Lytechinus pictus: one gene and its partner. The protein of the gene in region 1 purifies or fractionates together with the protein of each later gene. This does not show direct contact. Links are inferred from orthologs where the notes say so. Each region holds a gene or a part of one and is shown in the gene's direction. Other genes may lie near its edges.

What was found.
Region 2: the proteins of tRNA (adenine(58)-N(1))-methyltransferase non-catalytic subunit TRM6-like (region 1) and tRNA (adenine(58)-N(1))-methyltransferase catalytic subunit TRMT61A-like purify together in Homo sapiens (affinity purification with mass spectrometry; 4 studies listed by BioGRID and IntAct, counting the BioPlex papers as one, with this or other methods). This does not show direct contact. The link is inferred for Lytechinus pictus from reciprocal best matches to the Homo sapiens genes TRMT6 and TRMT61A.

What each region holds. Positions count from the first base shown.
Region 1 is NC_087251.1:16,792,659-16,800,172, reverse strand, and holds the start of tRNA (adenine(58)-N(1))-methyltransferase non-catalytic subunit TRM6-like, read left to right. Parts: upstream 1-3,964; 5' UTR 3,965-4,539; coding exon 4,540-4,628; intron 4,629-7,514. UniProt on the Homo sapiens protein: Substrate-binding subunit of tRNA (adenine-N(1)-)-methyltransferase, which catalyzes the formation of N(1)-methyladenine at position 58 (m1A58) in initiator methionyl-tRNA.
Region 2 is NC_087251.1:10,839,528-10,847,069, forward strand, and holds the start of tRNA (adenine(58)-N(1))-methyltransferase catalytic subunit TRMT61A-like, read left to right. Parts: upstream 1-4,001; 5' UTR 4,002-4,142; coding exon 4,143-4,473; intron 4,474-7,542. UniProt on the Homo sapiens protein: Catalytic subunit of tRNA (adenine-N(1)-)-methyltransferase, which catalyzes the formation of N(1)-methyladenine at position 58 (m1A58) in initiator methionyl-tRNA.

The sequences.
Region 1 (7,514 bases):
GAGACTAGATACACTTTGTTGATTCATTTTTACTTCACTGATAACATGTAGTTTTGATTATTATTATTATTATTATTTATTTGGCCATAAAAACATACAAATATTGTACAATGTAATTACATAAATACAAAAATAAAACCTGAATAAAAAATAAACCTGAAATAAAACCTAAATTTGAACTTAAACTCTTGACCTGTTTATTGCTTGAAGTTTCTAATTAAAGCCGTGGTACTAGACTACTCTTGGGCCGACTTACCGTTTCTTATCATTCTCGCACTTAACAACATAAGACAAAACCGTTAGTAAGTAGTCATCTTATACTGTATTTTACCCCCTTTTTATTTTGTTTAATTTTTTTATTTTATATCCATTTTCTTATGGTCCTTGCGGGGAGGGGTTCACTTGATTTTCTAGGCCTAGATACAGTTTTTTTTTCTTCTCCTTGTTATTTTTTTTTCCAATCTTATTCCAAAGTCCTTTTCCTTCATTCTCTCTCTCTCCCTTTCTCCCTGACTCACTCTCGAACACATTACTCGTTAAGACTTTGTTTTAGCAAATCGCACCGCGACTCCATCTCATCCCTCGACATCATTATAAACCTGCCTCACCTCATGTTACATTGACCTATTCAACTCTTTTTTCCTATCTATGGTCATTCCTTTCACATTCGCACTGGCCTTTTCATATATTATTTGAACTACTTTTACATGATTGATAAAAAAAAACCTCACCGATGATTCTTGCTGAACCGATCATCATTTAAACTTGTCTCTCATTTTTTGCATTATTCCACTTATTTTACACCATTCGGATTCATTAATATAAAAACGATTATTTCGTGGTACTTGTCCCACCCCATCTTCCCCATATGTATACCGTTATTCATATTTCTATACTATTCTTTAACAAAAAAACTCATTGTACACTTGCCTCACTTCCTTTGAAGTTGGCTTCATACTATTCATTCTTTCAAAAAAATCATTGTACACTTATAATTGCCCGCACCTCCTTTCCAGCTGGCTTCACTATACTAGATTCAATCTTTGTAAAAACATCATTGTGCACTTGCCTCACCTCCTCTCAAGTTGGCTTCACCATAATATTTATGACACTAATTATTCTATTTAACAACCTCAATTGAAACTTGCCTCGCCTCCTTTTAAATTTGTAGTACAGTTTATTCTTTTTAAAAACCTCCATTGAAACTTGCCTCACCTCCTTTCAAATTTGTAGTACAGTTTATTCTTTTTAAAAACCTCAATTGAAACTTGCCTCACCTCCTTTTAAATTGGCTTCACCATAATACAGTTTATTTTTTAAACCACCATTGAAACTTGCCTCACCTCCTTTTGAATTGGCTTCACCATAATTTGTAGTACAGTTTATTCTTTTTTAAAAACCTCCATTGAAACTTGCCTCACCTCCTTTTAAATTGGCTTCACCATAATTTGTAGTACATCAGTTTATTATTTTTTAAAAACCTCCATTGAAACTTGCCTCACCTCCTTTCAAATTTGTAGTACAGTTTATTCTTTTAAAAAACCTCAATTGAAACTTGCCTCACCTCCTTTTAAATTGCATGGCTTCACCATAATACAGTTTATTTTTTAAAACCTCCATTGAAACTTGCCTCACCTCCTTTTAAATTGGCTTCACCATAATACAGTTTATTCTTTTAAAAAACCTCCATTGAGGCTTGCCTCACCTCGATCCTTTTAAATTGGCTTCACCATAATTTGTAGTACAGTTAATTCTTTTTTTAAAACCTCCATTGAAACTTGCCTCACCTCCTTTTAAATTGGCTTCACCATAATACAGTTTATTCTTTTTAAATACCTCCATTGAGGCTTGCCTCACCTCCTTTTAAATTTGCTTCACCATAATTTGTAGTACAGTTTATTCTTTTTAAAAACCTCGATTGAAACTTGCCTCACCTCCTTTCAAATTTGTAGTACAGTATTATTCTTTTTAAAAACCTCAATTGAAACTTGCCTCACCTCCTTTCAAATTTGTAGTACAGTTTATTCTTTTTAAAAATCTCCATTAAAACTCGCCTCACCTCCTTTTAAATTGGCTTCACCATAATTTGTAGTAGTTTATTCTTTTTAAAAACGGACTTGCCTCGCCTCCTTTTAAATTGCCTTCACCATAACTTGTAATACAGTTTATTCTTTTTAAAAACCTCCATTGAAACTTGCCTCACCTCCTTTTAAATTGGCTTCACCATAATTTGTAGTACAGTTTATTCTATTTATAAACCTCCATTGAAACTTGCCTCACCTCCTTTTAAATTTGTAGTACAGTTTATTTTTTTTAAAACCTCCATTGAAACTTGCCTCACCTCCTTTTAAATTGGCTTCACCATAATACAGTTTATTCTTTTCAAAAACCTCCATTGAGGCTTGCCTCACCTCCTTTTAAATTGGCTTCACCATAACTTGTAATACGTACAGTTTATTCTTTTTAAAAACCTCCATTGAAACTTGCCTCACCTCCTTTTAAATTGGCTTCACCATTGCATAATTTGTAGTACAGTTTATTCTATTTATAAACCTCCATTGAAACTTGCCTCACCTCCTTTTAAATTTGTAGTACAGTTTATTTTTTTTAAAACCTCCATTGAAACTTGCCTCACCTCCTTTTAAATTGGCTTCACCATAATACAGTTTATTCTTTTCAAAAACCTCCATTGAGGCTTGCCTCACCTCCTTTTAAATTGGCTTCACCATAACTTGTAATACAGTTTATTCTTTATTTTAAAAACCTCCATTGAAACTTGCCTCACCTCCTTTTAAATTGGCTTCACCATAATTTGTAGTACAGTTTATTCTATTTATAAACCTCCATTGAAACTTGCCTCACCTCCTTTTAAATTTGTAGTACAGTTTATTTTTTTTAAAACCTCCATTGAAACTTGCCTCACCTCCTTTTAAACTGGCTTCACCATAATACAGTTTATTCTTTTTAAAAACCTCAATTGAAACTTGCCTCACCTCCTTTTAAATTGGCTTCACCATAATTTGTAGTACAGTTTATTATTTTTTAAAAACCTCCATTGAAACTTGCCTCGCCTCCTTTTAAATTTGTAGTACAGTTTATTCTTTTTAAAAACCTCCATTGAAACTTGCCTCACCTCCTTTCAAATTTGTAGTACAGTTTATTCTTTTAAAAAACCTCAATTGAAACTTGCCTCACCTCCTTTTAAATTGGCTTCACCATAATACAGTTTATTTTTTAAAACCTCCATTGAAACTTGCCTCACCTCCTTTTAAATTGGCTTCACCATAATACAGTTTATTCTTTTTAAAAACCTCCATTGAGGCTTGCCTCACCTCCTTTTAAATTGGCTTCACCATAACTTGTAATACAGTTTATTCTTTTTAAAAACCTCCATTGAAACTTGCCTCACCTCCTTTTAAATTGGCTTCACCATAATTTGTAGTACAGTTTATTCTATTTATAAACCTCCATTGAAACTTGCCTCACCTCCTTTTAAATTGGCTTCACCATAATATTCAGGTAAGGTATATTCATTCTTTTTTTAAAAAACATCATTGTTCACTTCCCTCACCTAGATCATTTGGGTATATATAATACCTTTTATTCTACACTATTCTTCCCTTAAAAAAAACCTGATTGTACTCCTGCCTCCCCTGATCTGACATTTGCCTCTCAACGTACTGGAAATAGATACCCTTTTTTCAATATTTTTGTGTTTTTGACACCCTTATCACGTTACGTACGTAACGTGCCCCCGGGGGGGCACTCGACCAAAAAAGTGGTAGGGGTGTGCCGCGGGCGAGGCAAAAAACGGGGGCCTTGGAGTGGGCTTATTGTAAAAAGGAGGGTCCTCGGAACGGGCTTCGGAACTACAAATGTTTGTGAAAACGGGGGTCCTCGGAACGGATCTCCATATCTCTGTGAATGCGTATGCATCCCTATGGAACGGGCAATCGTGCATGCTGACGCAGCTAGCGCGGCCTCGATCCGCCGGGTGCGCTCGCGCTTAGGCGATGGTCGAAAAGCGCTCTACGGCCGCTTTTCACCAAAATTGTAGCAGATCAATGCGACCGAAACGGTATCCATGGTATCCACTCGTCAATGTAAGTGGCACCCCCGGGCGTACTGTCCATAGTGTTATTTTATTATCTCTTTGTATCGGAAACTTCGTTTTACCGAATTGCCATGCACTCTCTCCGACGCGTTTGAAGTCTTAGACAGCATGGCATACTACCAGCCGATGGTACACACACGCACACACACACACGTTATTTGACAACTTGTCTCTGGAGCCAAAGTTCCTCGCATATAACTATCTGCATGCCTGCACGCAGTGTGTATTGAACACGCACGACCACGATCTAATGAATATTCATCGGCGAGACTGACGTCATTTTACGAGTCTCCTTTCAAACTTGGATCAAAAGTGCCTACCATGTACAAAATTGTCCCGAGAATCCACTAACTCGTGAGGTCGTAGATGCCGTGTTCACATTCAATAATCCAGCTGTTTTGTGTGATTTGTATTCATCCACTTCGATGGATCATCAAAATTTGATAGCGGAGGGTGACAATGTCATACTGAAGAAAGATAAAACCTTGAGAGTGTACAGAGCTCTTAAAAAAGAGTGAGTTTTTTTTTATTTGAAACATTATCTTTCAGTATCAGTCCCATGAACTCAAATATTTGTAAGTTGCCTTGATGATCTGACGATCGTGGTCGCTCGCCTCGCGTCCGACGGCGACGGGCGATGAAAACTACCTCGAGCGAAGTTCGTGCAGGCTCCACTCCACACTACCGCTACACTATGCTCCACCTACCTGAACTTCGAGACCATGAACTCGATCGGATATTCCGAGTGACAAAAGGTGGGATTTTATGGGGAGAAAATACAAAATTTATGCAACATCGCATCACGATCTTTACTTTAGTTTAAAAACAAGTAGATGTACAAGTAGGCCTACAACTAATAATATTCTTACTTTACACAAAGTTTCACTTCTTTTCCATGCTTCTATCAGTATCAGTCTCAAAATTGATGATTTAGAGCCAACATGAAGTTCCTCAGGCCTCACACGTAAAATATTATAATTCGCTGCCAATTTCAGAACATCGCATGCGCGCGCGCGCGAGGGTCCGAGCTCGGACCAGACCCTCCCGCATGCGATGTTTTGAAGTCGGCAGCGCATTAATATTTATACGTGTGAGAAACTTCATGTTGGCTCTAAATCATCAATTTTGAGACTGATAGAAGCATGGAAAAGAATAACCCAGAGAGCTCCGGCCCGCGTAGCGGGCCGGAGCCCAGACGCTCAGTGTGCAAACGGGCATTCAGGTGAGAGTACCGTGAAGTTTGGTCAAAATAATTTTGATAATAAATAATTAAAACAGAAATTAAGCACTTACCACGATTGTATGGATGATAGTCTAACGAGTGGCAGTTTCCTGACATCGAGGCACAGACTGGAACCTCAAAAAACGATCAGTTCTGTCGCGGTAGCTCTCCTCTTTCAGAATTCAACACAAAATGGCCGATCGAGACCGAGGCTAGTATAGCACTAGCGCATATAGACTTTGTCAAATTCGCGCATGCGCCCTACACCCTCTCGAACGGCCATTTTGCTATGAATTTTGAAAGAAGGAGAGCCACCGCGACAGAACTGATCGTTTTTTGAGGTTCCAGTCTGTGCCTCGATGTCAGGAAACTGCCACTCGTTAGACTATCATCCATACAATCGTGGTAAGTGCTTAATTTCTGTTTTAATTATTTATTATCAAAATTATTTTGACCAAACTTCACGGTACTCTCACCTGAATGCCCGTTTGCACACTGAGCGTCTGGGCTCCGGCCCGCTACGCGGGCCGGAGCTCTCTGGGTTAGGAAAAGAAGTGAAACTTTGTGTAAAGTAAGAATATTAGTTGTACTTGTTTTTAAAGATCGTGATGTTGCATGAATTTTGTATTTTCTCCCCATAAAATCCCACCTTTTGTCACTCGGAATATCCGATCGAGTTCATGGTCTCGAAGTTCGGGTAGGTAGAGCATAGTGTAGCGGTAGTGAAGTGGAGTGGAGCCTGCACGAACTTCGCTCGAGGTAGATGAAAACGTGCAATATCCATATAGGCCCTAGATAGATTTCATGTACTTTGCTCATTTTTACTCTTCTACAGTAGAGGCGCACGGCCAATAAATATTGGAGACTGTCTCCAATGTGGGAGATTATCTCCAATATCAGAGACTTTTGTAAAGAATTTGGGTATCCAATTTAAGAGTAATGTTGTAAATCGGATCAAAAATCGGATCGGCAGTTAAGCTTCTAAAATCGAAATCGAATCGAAAATCGAATCGGCGATGTTTAAAAACAAAGGAATACATCAAAATGTTGTTCGCGGTCACGCGCATCTTCCTGACAAAGTCACAAAGACGAATGCATTGGAATGGAAGTCGCCAACATGCGCGATCGTATGGAACATGTTTTAAAGCCAGGGGTTTTGAGGTGTTATTGCTTTAAAATAAACCGAGTGATTTTTATTAGAAAGATAAACGAAAGACGCATCTTCCGAGCAAAGGCGCAAAGGAAAATAAAATGAAAATATTTCTCATAGATCACAGGTTAATGAACGATCGGCGGGACATCTTTTAGAAGTATTTTTAGGTGCTAGCGATTTAGAATTATTGGAATGATCTCTTACGACGCATCATCTTAAAGTCGCAATTAAGTGCAATTAAAATGAAGTAGACGACGCAAGCACGCACGATGATTTGAAATATGTTATTAAAATGTTTTGGGTCATGTGGGTAGCTAGCGTTTTCAAATCAATTTGAAGTTCACGGCGGGGTCCGCTATCACCACGAGGTTGAAAATAAAATGTAAATCATCATAAACGATGTAAGAGAGTAACGCAATGAGCTCCGTCAATAGTACGACCTTTCAAAGTTCACGGCGGCATCCGCTATCACCACGAGGTTGAAAATAAAATGTATATCATCATAAACGATGTAAGAGAGTAACGCAATAAGCTCCGTCAGTAGCACGATCTTTAAAAGTTCACGGCGGGGTCCGCTATCACCACGAGGTTGAAAATAAAATGTAAATCATCATAAACGATGTAAGAGAGTAATGCAAAGAGCTCCGTCAATAGTACGACCTTTCAAAGTTCACGGCGGCATCCGCTATCACCACGAGGTTGAAAATAAAATGAATATCATCATAAACGATGTAAGAGAGCAACGCAATAAGCTCCGTCAATAGTACAGTCTTTAAAAGTTAATGGCGGGGTCCGCTATCACCACGAGGTTGAAGAGAAGATTTATATCATTATAAAGGGGGTAAGAGAGTAGCGCAGTGAGCTCCGTCGGTAATACGACCTTTCAAAGTTCACGGCGGCTTCCGCTATCACCACGAGGTTGAAAATAAAATGTAAATCATCATAAACGATGTAAGAGAGTAACGCAATGAGCTCCGTCAATAGTACGACCTTTCAAAGTTCACGGCGGGGTCCGCTATCACCAC
Region 2 (7,542 bases), about 6.0 Mb from region 1:
TTACCTCTCATCTTTAAAATAAATCTTACGGCATATACTAATACTTTCATGCTTTAGTCATAATTTGCACAATTTGGTTCGGCTTATCCGCTCTACTAATACAGTTGTGTGTGCTCAAAAGTTAGTGAACCCTAACAGAAATTGCACTCCTTCATACCGAGTGTTGAATGTAGACAACGGTACAATGTTCGGCAAGCCCAGATAAATTTATTGAATGTAATATTTTCTCACCTGACTCTACAATTAGATATCTCTTAAAACAGAACTTGAACGCTAAAATAGGTTAATTTTTTTGGTAAAGTTCACTAACTTGTAAGCACCACTGTATATATTATTTTCATTGAAATAGGTTGTATGATAGTACGCTATGATCTGTCAATATCAAGTTACATTGATGACCACCTCGCTAGTCTACTACCACCCCCATCTGAGCAGATCATTAGACTTATATGAACTTGATATGTGCTATGGATATGACCGTTTGCTTTTGAAATAAGGACTGAATTTCAATTTCATCCAAGATTTTGGTCTGAAATGGCCTTTGACCTGGGTCCAATGACCTGAAAGTTTTTATTCACACAATGGGTGACTGAGGCTCCCACTGGCGTAAATCCCGGGGGGGATGGGGGGGGGATATATCCCCCCCACTTTTGGAGGAGGGGGGGGGGTGGCCAGTACAAACATCCCCCCACTTTTTACGAAAGAAATTTTTAAAAAATCACAAGAGATAAGTGTTTTATTGGTGAAAATTCTTCCTGAAATACCGCTTAACAAATAAAACAATATCATTGAATCATATAAAAATGCAAATAAAGAGCCAGTTCACCATTTCCAAACGAAATACTTATGTCCTTATTATAACATTGAAGAGAAACTCCCGTTTCTTCCAATTCATCAATGTTGGGGTCTTTGGGAAGGGATTAAGATGGAATGTCAATTCTTTTTTAATGTAATCTCTAATAAAACCATTAAACCATCATGGGGTAAAAAAGATAATAATATTGGAGGGGTATTTGCCATATGGACATACAGTGGCGTAACTACGGGGGGGGGGGGGGCATGGGGGGCACGCCCCTCCCCCCAATCGGCTGACAAAAAAAAAACGGGGAAAAGGGGGAAAGGAGAAAAGAGGGAGAAAGAAGAGAAGCGTATAGTGGGAAAGAAGAAAATATTATTCATTATAATGTTATATTATAATTATGTTATGTTACATTACATAAGAAACATTTTTATCATAACTTCATGAAACATAATTTGCCCAGGGCCTACGTCTTCATTGTTCCTGGTGCTTGCATTGTCTGTTAACGAGATATATAATCCTGTTGTACTGAAACATCCCGTTTTCAAGTCAATATAAACCAAATATATTTCCTATAGCACTTGAGTTATCATTGTTTTATGTAATGACATATGCTTCTTTTACATGACTCAAAAAGTGATTGCCCCATGTTAAGGTCTTCGTATATATGAAACATTTCCTGTCCGTGATTACGTTCGCATTAGTGGATTGGTGAGATATGTCTGCTCTTCATGAATTCCTAAAATCAGTCCTTAAAATGTCCCTTCTTCTGATCTGAATATCAAAAATTTTCAGCTTGCGCTTCGCGCTCGCATCATTTGGATATTGAATTACGTATGGTCCTAGTTAATTCCTACAAAGAAACCTTAGAATGCCCCACTTCAGGTCTGAATTATCTAAATTTTCAGCTCGCGCTTCGCGCTCGCAATTTTTGACCCGGGGGGGCCACTTCCATTCACGAGTGGATACCATGCGCGACCATGGGGTCTCGAAAAGCACCCAAAACACGTAATTTCCATATTCTGAAAATGCACCCCTTAACAAGTATTGGCGCGTGAAACCCTACCCTTAACAAGTATTGGAAACAAAACGATACTCTTGGCAAATATTCCCTGAAATGAACCCCTAAACAAGTACAGGAATATTTTATTGTTACGGGTCCTTCGGTCGTCGGCTTTACCTTATTTGGTTTAGTACGACCCCACTTTCTACACCTCGCGCAAATCGGACTCTAAACACGAAGTTTTGGGGCAAAATGGACATCCTTTATAAAACATTTTAATTTTGTTTTATCATTCCCGCAAATTCGACCCTAAACACGTAATTTTCCTAGCGAAATAGACACCCTTTTTTCATTATTTTTGTGTTTTTGACACCCTTATCACGTTACGTACGTTACGTGCCCTATCGTGAAAAGGACATCCTTTTTACGTGTTTTTTTGGTCGCGCATGGTATCCACTCGTCAATGTAAGTGGCCCCCCCGGGATTTTTGATTAGTGAGATGCGTATGATAATCATGATTGCAATGACTACAAAAAGTGTTTCATGTGTTCAGATATAATTCTTATAAACCAGCAAGCGCTTGGCACTCGCATTAGATGACTATGGTGAGATATGCATACTCTTAATGGATTCCTAAAATATATTCCTCAAAATATCGCTGTTTGCATGGGGTCAGAATATACGAAAACTTCAGCTCGCGCTTCGCGCTCGTATTGTTTAGCGAGACAGGTACCTATCATGATTACACAAATTTGACAATAATGTCTCTTTTTAGGTGTGAATATTAAAAAAAATCAGCTCGCGCTTCGCGCTCGCATTATTTGATCAGGGAGATGCATATCCGTTTAATGACATTGTCCAGAAAATGTCTCTATTAGGTCAGTATAACTGGCAACTGAGCGCGCTCACTCAGTGATTCAAACATTTTGCTGGTGCCCCCCTCCCCAATGCCGTGACCCACCGTACGCCACTGTGGACATATCACTAATGACAATTCCTTGCATATCTAAAAACATGATTGCAAAAAAAAAAGCCAAAATATTTCAGTCATCCCCCCACCCATCAACACGGATTTACGCCAGTGGAGGCTCCTATAGGACTATGCAAACTTCATGGAATATATTTTTTTTCAGAGAACAAAATAGGGCCTAATATATTTGATAACAAAAAACAGAATTCATTGACCTCGGTTGATCTTGACTTTTAAATACATTATTAAGTTCATGTTAAATTTTATATTCTGATTCAATAAAACCATTCCACACAAATTTCTTGATTTTATATAAAGTTAAGTGATCTGAAATGACCTTTGACCTTGACCCATGATCTGAACAATGTACTCCGGCATATTGCTAATACCGAATAACTGATAACTACTCTATTCAATTTTAGCAATATAAGGGCCTTGTGATTTCAAAATATCTTGAGATGGTTAACCTTCTGTTAAACTGCACGGTTTATACAAATTTATTGACCCTAATAGTGTCACAAAATCTGTCATTGGTGCAGTTAGCAAACAGGCCCTCCACAATGTAAAAATGACTACAAGGTGGATGACATGCTCTTAACAATGAAAAGGGAATTAAAATTGTCAAAAGCAGGGGAAAAATATTTGGTGTAAGTTGGCCTCTGTACTCTCCTAATTTCCAAATCCAATAGGTAAAAACCTGTATTTTTTATTTGCTTTTTAGTGACTTCAACATTTATAAACAACAATGAAATACTTATGAAATCATAAACTGACAAATAACTTCATACATGTACATCAAGGTACCAGTATAAAATAACAGAATTGAATTGCATGGACCTGGATAATCATCGAACCATATATGGAGCTAACAGTACGATCGAATCCCCTTCACCCTTCCCCCCTGGCAGTGGCGTACCTAGGATTTTCCACAGGGGGGGGGCAAAACCGTCAGCCAAAAAAATTGACAAGCAAAAAAAAAAAAAAAAAGGTCTTAAATCACAAATATAAAAGGATTTAGTACCAGAAAAAAAAAAAAAGGTCTTCAAGCTCGTCAGGGGGGCAATAAAGGTCTTCAAGCTCGTCAGGGGGGCAAAAAAGGTCTTTCAAGCTCGTCAGGGGGGCATGGATACGTCCTTTGCATGGGTTGTGGCTCGTCAGGGGGGCAGACTGCCCCCCCCCCCCCCCCGTATGACGCTAGTGCCCCCTGGCCTCCCCTCCATCGGTGATCCATACATTAACGGATAACACGTGTGCGCAGCTGGATGTAGCCAATGCACTGCGGCAGCCTGAGCCCTGGGCCTGACTACCTTGTCTTTGTCTTTGAAAATAAAACTTATCAAACTAAGTCATTTGGTAGTTAGTCGATCATCATGAGTTTTGTAGGATACGAGGAAAAGGTTCGCCCTAATGACACAGTGATAATTTTTCTTGGACATGATTCGATGATGCCGCTAAAAATGGTTTTTGGGTGCACAACTCAAACCAAGTACGGAGCCCTGCGCCACTCTGAAATCATCGGGAAACGTTACGGGTCGAAATTATCGACTGTCGGTGGAAAAGGATGGGTTTACGTGCTTCATCCTACTCCAGAGTTATGGACTGAAAATCTTCCTCATAGAACTCAAGTGTTGTATTTTCCAGATATCAGTTTATTGACGATCGAGTTAGAACTGAAACCAGGCAGTATTGTGGTTGAAGCAGGTAGATCTATTCGTCGTTATTTCGCCAATATTTAGATTCATAATCAGTCATTGGCGGTAGTGCACTTTCGCACCCCAGCCCGGAGTTCACTCAGCTCAGCTCAGCCCTAGCCAGGAGGCTCCTAAAGAGTAAAGATCATTTACTAAGTAACGTATGCTTACCCTCCATGGAGCCAGGAATTCCTTCCCATTCATCTGCACGTACCGTCAAAAACTGAAACTTTTGCCCCCGACTCGAGATTTCTACTTCTAATTATAAGCCTACGCCTAAATCATGTAAAAAAAAACTAAATCGGGATATAACTTTATAAGTTACAACTTCATTTCTCCGCTATCAAATTCATTTTTAAACAAGAATTCATTAAAAAATTAGAAAAATATTGCAAAAAGATGGAGGAGACTTGCCCGATGTTTATGCCGCTATCTTGTTTCCTGACCTAAGTATTGACTATTGTTCACCAACGTTACATTGATGAATTTGATTTTGATGAATTCTTGTTTAAAAATGAAATCGATAGCGTAGAAATGTCGGAAATGAAGTTGTATCCCATGTAAATGATTAAGGGCTAGATCTTTTAGGAGAGTACAAATCTCAGGAGCGAAAGTTTCAGGTTTTTTGGCGGTACGTGCAGATGAATCGGAAGGAATTCCTGGCTCCATGGAGAGTAAGCATACGTTAGTAAATGATTTGTAGGAGCCTCCTGGCTAGCTCAGCCTCGGTGCTCGCTGTTGACGAAGCTTGCGAACTGACTTCGGGGTGCGAAAGTGCACTAATATTGACACGACTATCTTATAACATACAAATAATGCTTGCAGCCGAGTGCGTTAGTGGAAATGCAGAGCACGTGAGGTTTCTTTTGATAGGTGCCACACTGCACTAGCCGCTGGCAGCGAGTGCCCAGTGTGCACCATCTGAAGAAACCGAGCTTTCTCTCAAATTCTCTGCATTTACTTTTGCGCACGATAGAGCGAGTGCATTATTTGTTTTATAAAATAGCAACACAAACAAATTCTTAAAAAGTTACAGTGCAGAAGTTTTATTGGACTTCTCCCGGGACTTCTACCGCACTTGTCTGCTTGAGCGTGCAATGTCAATTTTCGTTGCGCACCTTTTGCGCTGCCGTGCAATGCACAAAAAGTTGGATGTCATGTGACGCGTATTGGCCAATTGCGATGCTGGAGATAATACACCTATTTGATAAAACCCTTAATTTTTAAACTAAAGACTCATTTAAAGTTTTTAAAAGCTCACCAAATAAGTTCTCTGTAATGTAAGATCCCAAGGGCGATTCCACACTAGAACTTCAAAAATAAGTAGTGTAATATTTTACTATGATACCTAAATTTTATGAAAATTATGAGTTTTAACCAAAAGTGAAGTCAGATCTATTTTTTTGGGGGGAAAACAATGGAATTTTCAATTTTCAATAATTTTGCTAATTAAATAGTCCAGTACAAAGTTACTACAAACACTGCCTGAAATGATTATTGGCAAAGCACAAGAAGATTGAAAATATTGCAGGTCAATGGAAAATGTATCATTGATGGTTCCAAATAATATCTACAACATTTTCATGATCCATACTAGGGGCAGCCCTGATTTTTCCGATCCTATTTTTGGCAATGTCCCGTACGACACACAATATATACTGCATTTAATTGCAGGATTTGGATTCAGAAACTATAAATAATAGGCCTATTTTAATTTAAGTAATTGATAAAGTGAACTGAAAAAGTACTTTTTTTATCTCCATAGAACATGAAATAAGTGATTCTAACCATTTTAATTGACGTCATGTAGGCGTATTCTTTTGTGAATCTCTTCAGCCAAACTGCCAAAACGGGTGATTTTCACTGGTCAAAGCATTGAGCATGAAAAGAAAGCCTTTATAATTGATTCATCCTAGCCTGGAAGATGACTTCCTCTTGCATGCTAATGTGAAATTATAAGATGTAAAAAAAAATATTTACATATCAATCAATATAATAACTTAATAATTTAGTCTTATATAGCGCTTTTCATGGAATCATATCAAAGCGCTTTACAATGTAGAACATACTAAATATACAAACATAAGTGAAATTAGAAATCATTTTACTAAAAAATAAAAAATATCAAGGACACTGTAAATGGGGCTATGTTGAATATGCTTTCTTCGTGAGGTACGTCTTTAAATTAGATCGAAACGAAGTGATATTTGGGATACAACGGAGGGAAGCTGGAAGAGTGTTCCAAAGACGTGGGGCAGAGCTTGAAAAGGACCTATCACCAAAAAGTTTAGTTTTTGCTTTTTTGACTGTTAAGAAATTTTGATTTGCAGAACGAAGGGACCTACTGGGAGTATATGCCTATTAAATCAGAGAGATATTTTGGAGCATGTCCATGAAGAGATTTGAATGTTAGGAGTAGAATTTTGAATTGTATACGAAATTTAATGGGGAGCCAGTGCAATTGTTTAAGAGTAGGTGTTACATGGTCATGTTTTTAGTGAGGGAAACTTGACGGGCTGCAGAGTTTTGTATTCTCTGCAGCTTAGAAATATTCTTTTCTGGAATTCCATGGAGCAGGCTATTGCAACTGTCAAGAAGTGAACTAATAAATGCATGAATGAGGACTTCAGTAGATGACTTTGAGAGATATTTTCGAATTTTACCAATTTTTCTTAGGGCAAAGGATGCTTTACGACAGATGCTGTTGACATGGGGACGCATTGAAAAGTTTTTATCAAACAAAACACCTAAGTAACCGTTTTAGAGGGATGTAGGGATCATCTATTTGGACTTCCCTTGATGATCACTAATTGTTTTATATACAGTATTGAAACTCCTTACTTTTTTCAAGTTGTAAAAAAAAATCTGGAAAATAAGACAAACCATATGGTTTCATGAAATGCAGAAAGGTTTGAAAAAGTAGAATCGCATTTCTTTAGAAAAAAAAATTGTGGAATTACAAGTAACAGTTTTGACATATATCATGAATATGTACATTTTATATGAAAAATCATAACATTTTAGCCCCATAATTTACACAAACAGTTTCATTCATTCATTGTTTAAATAGTGTATTGGA